2 linked regions of the Arabidopsis thaliana genome follow. The protein of the gene in region 1 interacts with the protein of each later gene in a pairwise test. Each region holds a gene or a part of one and is shown on either strand. Other genes may lie near its edges.

Region 1 (4,632 bases):
TCTTCTTCTTCTTCTAAGATTAATTCAAAGTGTTTAATACTTTTGAAATTTTAAGTTTCTTTTTGGTCAGTTTCAAATGGGTGACATCATCGGTCACAAGGATAGGCAAATATGGCCACCCTCTCATCATGTTCTTCAAGATCCATTGTTTGATCATTCCAACAAACATCAGGTTTATATTATCTTATATCTAAATTTTTTCTATTTGAATTTGTTATTTTTTTCTCCTATTCTATATCGAAGTCGTTGTTAATTAAATTCTCACATAGTTGCAGAAATATGTCAAGAACCACCATCACCACGGCAACGGTGAATTTCGTCGGCCCGGGGCACCTCCTCTTAGACAAACATTTCCTTTGGTATTTCTTTTCAATCTTTTTTTTGGTTACAATCTCTTAACGGTATTGGAGGAAATATCATTATGGACATTAACGTATGTATTTAAACATATCTTATATATTTTCAAACTAAAGCTCAAATATTTTGTATATATATTTTTGTGTGTTGAAGAACTATAATACAAGACAAAAGCACCAAAGCAATTGGCAAAGGAGTAAAGGAGAGGATCGTATGCAAGCATTTTTCTTGGTTACACCGGGCCGTACAACTTCTGGCACCGGAGTTTTTCTTCCAGCCACGGCTTCTCATCCACCCACCAAAAAAACAGGTTATTTATTAATTACTCTATACTAAGTATTTATGAACACAAATAAAGGTGCATAATGTTTTCAATTTCATAAAATCAATTCTACCAACTGCATATACTAAAATTCTTTTAGTTTCAGGTTAAAGTTGATTTGACATGATTTTTAACTTACATTTTGTCGTTAAGTCGTTTTTTTTTTTTTGAAAATAATGTTCAAATTATATTCAAAAGAAAAATAACTTTTTTACAACCACTGCTTCTTGAGATTGAAGATTTAGAGCTAGACAAAATTTAGAAGAATTTGAAAATTTTTGATGATTTTTTTTGTCGTTTTTTGTTTTAAACATATATAAACACAAAAACCTCAATTCTTCGATTACTACGAAATATATCATGGATTCATACATCTATTACCATTTTTTTCTATCTATTTCGTAGCTTTTGTAGGACAATTGACATAAAGAAATTGTGATTTGTTGGTTTTTACGTTAGTCAGCCTTTACTATATAGACTCATTAATATATGATTTAATGTTATACAATTTTGATTGATGAAAACAAAATTCTCTTGTCATAGCTTGCTCACCGGTGCTTCTCCCGACTCGTGTAGTTCAAGCACTCAATCTTAACATTCACAACAACGGTATCCATATTTCTCCTCGTCCAGGTTCTTTTCCAACCATTATTTGTTCTCATCGACCGTTATTCAAATACATTGTGTTATATATTACAAATTAGTTTGAACTATAGATATATTTTGGTTGAAATTGGTAACATTGTTTCTTTTGAATGTAGAAATTAGAGAAAATGATTCGAAGAAGAAGAGCGAAATGTTGGCAACAACACCTATCAAGATTGAAGCAGAAAATCCTATTGATTCGCCGGAGAAACTTCTCCCCGAGGAATGGATTTATTGATGACCCAACCATTAGTATGGAAAAGTAGAATCAAATAAAATAAAATGAAAGATTCTTGTGTTGATGTTACAAAAGAAAAGAAAAGATTCTTGTGTTGATAAGAAAAGAAAAGATTCTTGTGTTGTATGCTTCGTCACCATTGGATTAGTAATAAAAATCCAAATAAGAGACTCTGTATATTCCATTCATAATGTAATATCCCCTATTTTCAGTTGAAAAATTTGCATAATTTAGTTGTCACAATTATTAATGGATTTAGGAAAAATTGGATCAACAATACCAAGATGAATGACTGGATTCGAACACCAACGTTACTATTGGGCTAAAAGGCCGAATCAAGAATACTAAAACCTTTTGTTTTTTTACTATTTAGCTAGCTAATGATGAAATTTTTTATCATTGTATTGTTAATTTTGACTAAACAAAAGTTTTAAACAGTTTTTTTTCAAAACTAAACAAAATGTGATTGATAAAAGATAAATTTCTAAAGTGAGTGATTAGATTCCGCAAATCAGATTATTTGAGTTAATTATTCTGTTTCTTTCATTTGGGGTTGTTTTTGTTCAATAAAAAGTTGAGAAGGGTGTTATTGATAAGTTCAAAACAAATAGGGTATAACCAAACATTCAAGGAAGTAAGAGACCGTCGGTGTGAAGCAGAATCCATAATTGGGGACTTAAACATAAATTCCCCTATTGCTGCTTTTCCTCCTCCCGCTCTTGCTTCTTGCCATTGCTGTTTCGAGCTCTCCTCAAAGCCCTAATTTTCTCCTCTTCTTCTTCATTCTCTCACCATGAAGCTCGTCAGGTATGGTTTCTACTCGGATTCTCTTTATTTCTTCGGTTTAATTGGAATTTGCTTCGAAATTTTGAGATTTCTCTTTGTTTTCATGCTCTTCGATGTTTGATTTCGTATCTGGATTTTTTCGCAGGTTTTTGATGAAATTGAACAACGAAACAGTTTCAATCGAGCTTAAGAACGGAACCATTGTTCATGGAACCATTACTGGTACGCTTCTCTTAAAAACCCAGCTCTATTCGCTGTTTAGGGTTTTGTGTAAAATCTACGATGCTTACCTGTAATCGATGGTTACTCGCGTATTCACAAATTCTGATGGTGTAGTTTGAGTTTAGCTAGTGTCTTTCCCCTAATAATGCTTTGTTGGTATTAACCCTAGTGACACTGGTCAAGTCAGATGCAGATGAGTACACTAGATTTTACTTGAATCGAGGTTTATGAGATAGTTTAGTTCTTCTTCAAACTTTGATCACCCATGAGGTAGTTTACTTTCTCCTTTGATGGTTGTAACCAATGGAGCTCTCGAATTTACTAATTCTGATGTGTAATTCTGTTAATAGACCTAGAAATGCATTGTGGGTGTTGAATCTCTCTTGTTTGCAATAAGTGAATGATAATGGTGGTCTAGTCAGATGGAGATGATACATTTTATTTTGCTTTATAGTTGGGTGTATGAGAATGCTTAGTTCTTCTGGGAGTGAGTTTAGCACATGATTATATATGAGATAGTTTACTTTAGTTTCCCTCTTTATCATTGTGGACCTCTCTTGTTAACAAATCCTGAGGCTTAATTCTGTTATTAGTGATAGTATCTGAAGAAGTTAGAGTTTAGCTGAGTCTTAATTATTTTTTTACCTCGAAATGCTTTGTTGGTAACCCTCTTGTTAGCAAGAACTGAGTGATACTTGTCGAGTCAGATGCAGATGATTAGATTTAGCACATGAAAGTCACTCTTATCTCTTTCCTTGTAAAGAAAATCTCTGATTTTTCACAGAACAGTTACCGTGTGGCTTCTTGTTTCAACTTCTCTTTTAGTCTGATTGATCTAATACAAGTGGTCTCTGCTGTTAATGTTTGGTTTGGTTTCCTTTTTCTGCCATCATCTTGTTTAGAATGCAATTATCAATCAACTCACTGACTGGTACTATCTACTTGTGATGACTTAATGCAGGTGTAGATGTTAGCATGAACACTCATTTAAAAGCTGTGAAACTCACTCTGAAAGGGAAGAATCCAGTTACATTAGACCACTTAAGTGTCAGGGGAAACAACATTCGCTATTATATTCTTCCGGACAGTTTGAATCTGGAGACTTTGCTGGTTGAAGACACTCCAAGAATCAAACCCAAAAAGCCAACTGCAGGTAACAAAACATTTCTTTTTTCTGAACTATGCCTTTGTTTTTGTTTTTGTTTTTGCTTAGACTCATCTTTCTATTGTTCTCTTTGGTATCAGGTAAGATTCCAGCAGGTCGGGGACGTGGTCGTGGAAGAGGTCGTGGACGTGGCCGTGGTGGTCGTTAAGCATTTTGCAGTAATCAAAAGTCTGGTCCTTTTTGGTTTGTAACAGCAGGATTGTAAAAGATCTATCTTGTAGTGAGATTTGGTGTCACTAAGACAAATTCTTGTTATCTCTTTAAGTTTTCATGAATTTGAGATTTGAAACGTTATTGCCAAACATACATCACTCAATATGTTTTATTATTGACTTGATCACTTTATTACATAGTCTGATAAAACGTGGGGAGTTCGAGAAATCAAAATCTTGACCTTATTTTTCAAGACTTTGGCAAAGAGTCGAAAGATTAAACTAAGATAGAGCCTTTCATGACAGTCACAGCTTTCCCGGTAAGCAAGACTCTCTGCTTCTCCTTATCATAATGAACCTTGAGTGTTCCACTTCTTTGCGAAGCCTGAAAAGAAATTCGTTGATTCGTTAATATGTGTGATTATTTCTTGCTTCGAAATGTTAGTTAGCTAGTTACAGAGAAAGATGAATTACCGCAAAAGCGACGAAATCACACTTGTTCATCTTGAGGCTCCAGTAATGTGCTAATGAACAATGTGCACTTCCACATACAGAGTCCTGAAGGAACAAAAGCACCAAGCAAATAAGGTAACGGTAAACACTTTTGGTAACGGCTACCACAAGTAAAAAGCAGAGAATTGCTCCCATGCACGAAGTTGCAGGTTAGTTTCTTAACCTCATTGAGCCCTAGTTTAGGAGCAAAGAGTCGACTGCAGAAGTCAAAAGGAGATCCTTGAGGAGCAGC
Region 2 (4,604 bases), 9.8 Mb from region 1:
ATTCTGTGGATATTTTTGAACGTTTTAACTACACCACAGGGTCCCAGAACGAAAGAGGCAATGAAAAGGACGAGCACAGTGTTATTGAAAAACCAGAGTTTTGCAAAATTTAGCTGTTGGAACTTGTCGTCGGGTCCCATTTCTATCCTCTTTATAGTTTTTTTACTTAATTCAGTTCCACAGTTTTGCACTGAAATTTTAAAAGAAAACAATGTAACAATAACAAGTATTCGATTTTTCTTGATTTTAAGCATGTATATAAACCTTATCAATAAGAAATAGTCTGATACTAAATGAAAACTCCAATCCGTAATAATGAGTATCATACCGAATCTCCGATTAAGAAATAAACAAGTAACGACTATATATTAACCTTTAAAGTTGTCGCAGCCTTGTAATATTCTTTTGATCTTTTAAAATTATAAAGCTGAGATTTAGCAATGGTGGGGTTAACGTGAAGCATCATTAGGAGTGTTAATGGGTCACACTCACACCTATGTTTTTGACTTTTTTTTATTACCTTTCGTACTTTTGTTTTGTTTTCTATCTTTAACCTTCAACGGCACAATTCTTACACAGCCAAACAATCGCAGTGTGCAGTGTAAGTCAACACCATTTGTATACGTTCTCACTTGTCAAATCTTGGTTAGTGACCAAGCCTTATTGAATAATTGAAAGTTCTGAAAAATAATTCACTATAAACAAGTATTACTTACCATTCAACTAACCACACTAATTCACAATTTCATTTCATCAAAATTAACATATGTAAGAATGTGAAACCCAACCAAACTGAACCAACAGAATTTTGGTTAGATTTGAACTATATCCAAAATTGCAAGGTAATGTGACTTGTTAATCTTTTTATAGATCGACGAGTTCTTCATCACAAATAGCTGAATGTATCCACGATTCATCACAACATCCATAGCTCCCTAAACAAGGTTTTGACTTCTACCTAAACAATCCATAAACAAGGACAAGAGAGGTGATCAATAGTAGAACCGATTTAGCCCTTGTTCGAGTAAGATTCAGATGTGATCACTAGCTTAGTTTCTAGCTTTCTAAGATGTTATTAAGTTCCTCGAAATGGCGCAAGAAAGTTGCTGTTTCAACCTCAAAAGAGTTAGCAATGTAAAACGATCCTCAAGATAGATGTTTACCTTAAGAAGACATAACAAAGTTTAATGGATTCGTTCTTAAAAGAAAACACAAGAAGATAAGGCAAAGACAACTCACTCGTCAACAAATCTACAAACTTTGAAAGCTAAGATAGATGAGAAATTGCGGCTAAAGTCAATGAAAGGCAACATGATAGCACGATACCGTAAACCTGAGGAAGTTCAATCAAACATCTTAAAGCCTTCATAATCTCAAGAAAACAGCGACAAAAACAGTAAAAAGCCGAGACAAGAGTCCTGTTCATTCACTGCTAACCTAATCACTGCTGCTGATTATGTGGTGGCATGCCAGGACGCGGTGGAGCAAAACCACCAGGAGCAGGAGGCATTCCAGGGCGAGGCGGAGGAGGTCCTTGCATTCCATGAGGTGGAGGAGGAGGTCCTCTCATCATACCACCAGGAGGAGGAATCATTGGCCTTTGCCCATACTGAGGCGGTGGTGGTCCAGAAAACTGCTGTGGCGGTGGCCTCATACCATAAGGCGGTGGAGGACCTCTTCCCATAGGAGGACCTTGACCACCAAAAGGAGGCGGTGGCAACATCTGTCCCGGAGGTCGAATAATCGGAGGAGCTGAAAGCTGTGGTGGACGAGAGATCTGAGGCTGCATCATTCCCGGAGCAGGTCCACCAACACCACGAACAGGACCAGATAAACCAGGCTGAGCTTGAACTAACGGACCAGTAGGAACTCCACGCCCAGCGGCACGGCCAATTCCTGGACCAGCAACAGCAGCTGCAGAGCCAGCTTTAGCACGAGATTCTTCAGGAGGAGGTGGTCCTTCGACAGTCATTGAGATAACTTCTTCACCTCTAAGCAACACTAAACCTAGCGTACGGCGATCTTCACGCTCTTCGTTGATCTTCTTCCCTTTAGCTGGTGGAAGCTTACGAAACTCCTCGCAATCGCCGAGAACGAGGTTCATGTGACGGTCAAACGCCATGAACTTCCCAACGAGCTGTCTTCCGTCTTGGATCGTCACTCGCATCCTGTAGTTGATGAACTGAAGCATCTTTGAACTCTTCGACATCGACATTCTCGCCGATTGAATAGTAACACTCGCTACAAGCAGAGATTCGGCGGCGAAACCGAGTATGCCGGAGGATCGAAATCGAGCTTAGGGTTTCAAAAAACTAAATCGAGAGGCCAAAATTGGGGGGGTTTGGCTGTGCAAATCGGGAAGTGGGAAATTTCTAGGGTTTATAAATGAATACACTCTTGTTTATGGGCTTACTTTCATTATGGGCCCAAACATATTGGACTTGGGCTGCAATTAGTTGAATAGGCTACAATATTTGTTAGTTTGAGGCTCCAAGTTTCACTAAGCTTATTTTATGGAGCAAATCAGCAAATGTCAAAGTTTAATCGGGAACAAATGTGTAAAGTTCAACAAGATTAAAACAAATCTGATACATTGAATAAGGAAATATTTTGTTATTCAAAACACACGTGTATTCCTGAACTTGGCATGAACTAGCGTGCATCAGGGATATGTTCAGGACCAAAGCTTGTGCTCTGTTCAAGAGAACTCTTGGAGTCCACGTCATGTCTCCCTCCTTTCCTTGAGTTCTCAGTTAAGAGACACTCTTGTAGTTCATTAGCAACCTGGGACATATTTGGTCTTCCGGATGAAGATGGACTGACGCATGACATTGCTAACTCAAGAGCCTTCCACAATGAACTAGAGTCATAATCACCGTTCATACTTGGATCCACAATATTTTTGATATCTCCATTGGTTAACTTAAATCCCACCCATTCTCCTATGTGAGACTTCTCACGAGTTTGGTCAATCACTGGCTGACTTGTGATGATTTCCAGTAATACGACTCCAAAACTGAAGACATCACTCTTCTCTGTCAACCAGTTTGTTCGGTAATATCTATAATACGAATGAATAAAAAATTTACCAGATGGAAAGAGAAAGACACAACTTAAGTTCATTAAGTATTGTTATAGACCACTTACTCAGGGTCAAGATAACCTGGAGATCCAGCAACATTTGTTGACACATGAGTTTCACTTCCCACCGGAAAAGATCTTGAAAGCCCGAAATCACCAAGTTTGGCCTGGAAATTATTATCAAGAAGTATATTCATAGATTTGATATCTCTATGAATCATTGGTGGTTTGCAGCCGATATGCAAGTACTCCAGTCCTATATAATACAACTCATAAAAGGTTTATTTCAAAACTCACCAAGAGAAGTGAACATCTCAAAAAATTTGCAATGTTATCTTTTTCTCAAAACTTCAAACGAACCTTGTGCTGTCTCTGCAGCAATTCTTAGCCTATTTTCCCAACTCAAAGGGGACCTAGAATTTTCTCCTGTACTCATAAAGATGTGTGTATGTTATAAGATGACACACGATCATTGTGTTTAGAAACAAATTAGGTAATCAAGGTTACCAGATAGATGTTGTTTTAAGTTTCCATTGGACATGTACTCGTAGATGAGGACCAAGTGTTGTCCTTCGTCACAATAACCAACAAGAGTTACTAAATTTATGTGGTGTACTCTGAGAAGAAGGTCTACCTAGCAAACCACAAGTAACCCAAAAGTTGGTAAATCATATATATACATTTTATTTGAGTATATGAATAATTAAACTTAATGATAGTGAAGGTACCTCAGCTTTAAATTGCTTATATCCTTGAGCTGAGGATTCAGAGAGCACCTTTACAGCCACTTGTTCGTTATCATTTACATTACCGTGGTACACGACTCCAAATCCTCCTTCGCCAAGAGGTCTCTCAAAATTGTTTGTAATTACCGCAACCTCTTCATAAGTATAGCTTCTCTTGTTCGCCACCATTGATGAGCGTGAAGCTATTATATACCATACATTATATACTTAAGTACAAATTTGAAGTTAATGAGTTTTAATTAGTCCTGAGCTTACCTTTGGATGGCTTCTTCTTTCTAAGTAAGAGAATGTTGACGAGAAGAAGCACAGCTATAATAATTCCCACAGAAGCAGCTGATGCAAGAATAGGTACTAGCAATTTCTTTTTGTTATTCCCAGGACCAGTTTCACTTTCGCATGATGGATCCAAACAGAGGTTATTTCCATTATACAGCAACGTTATTAGCCCATTCTTTTCCATGTTGAGAAGGCTTTGAGGAATTGAGCCGCTAAGATTGTTCCCACTCAAGTTTCTGTGCAATGTATATAAAACGTTATTAGATGCATCCATTTAAAGATTTAAAACCAAACTATTCGTTTTACTTCTAGGGGAACTTACATGAATGTCAACAACTTCATTTTGGCGAGAAATTCAGGCACCTTTCCCGTCAAGTTGTTATTTGACAGGTCCCTATAACATAAATAAATCATGATTGTCAAACAAAGATATCAAAATAGTCAAATAGATGTTCCCTCTATAATTATATAGGGAGATATGTATATGAGACTTACAATTTC

Evidence for each region.
Region 2: the proteins of AT4G02840 (region 1) and smB interact in a two-hybrid assay, tested with the Arabidopsis thaliana proteins (2 studies listed by BioGRID, with this or other methods).

What each region holds. Positions count from the first base shown.
Region 1 is NC_003075.7:1,262,371-1,267,002, forward strand, and holds AT4G02840 (Small nuclear ribonucleoprotein family protein), read left to right. Parts: upstream 1-2,256; 5' UTR 2,257-2,355; coding exon 2,356-2,369; intron 2,370-2,493; coding exon 2,494-2,570; intron 2,571-2,763; coding exon 2,764-2,793; intron 2,794-3,531; coding exon 3,532-3,723; intron 3,724-3,815; coding exon 3,816-3,883; 3' UTR 3,884-4,089; downstream 4,090-4,632. Other genes in the region: AT4G02830 (uncharacterized protein), read left to right, coding at 77-172, 270-359, 511-667, 1,223-1,312, 1,441-1,562; AT4G02850 (phenazine biosynthesis PhzC/PhzF family protein), read right to left, coding at 4,165-4,272, 4,362-4,445, 4,564-4,632. UniProt on the Arabidopsis thaliana protein: Involved in splicing regulation.
Region 2 is NC_003075.7:11,021,402-11,026,005, forward strand, and holds smB (small nuclear ribonucleoprotein associated protein B), read right to left. Parts: upstream 2,451-4,604; 5' UTR 2,216-2,450; coding exon 1,442-2,215; 3' UTR 1,438-1,441; exon of another isoform or gene 1,334-1,437; 3' UTR 635-1,333; downstream 1-634. Other genes in the region: AT4G20450 (Leucine-rich repeat protein kinase family protein), read right to left, coding at 2,653-3,061, 3,148-3,337, 3,442-3,507, 3,589-3,715, 3,810-4,009, 4,083-4,339, 4,426-4,497, 4,599-4,604.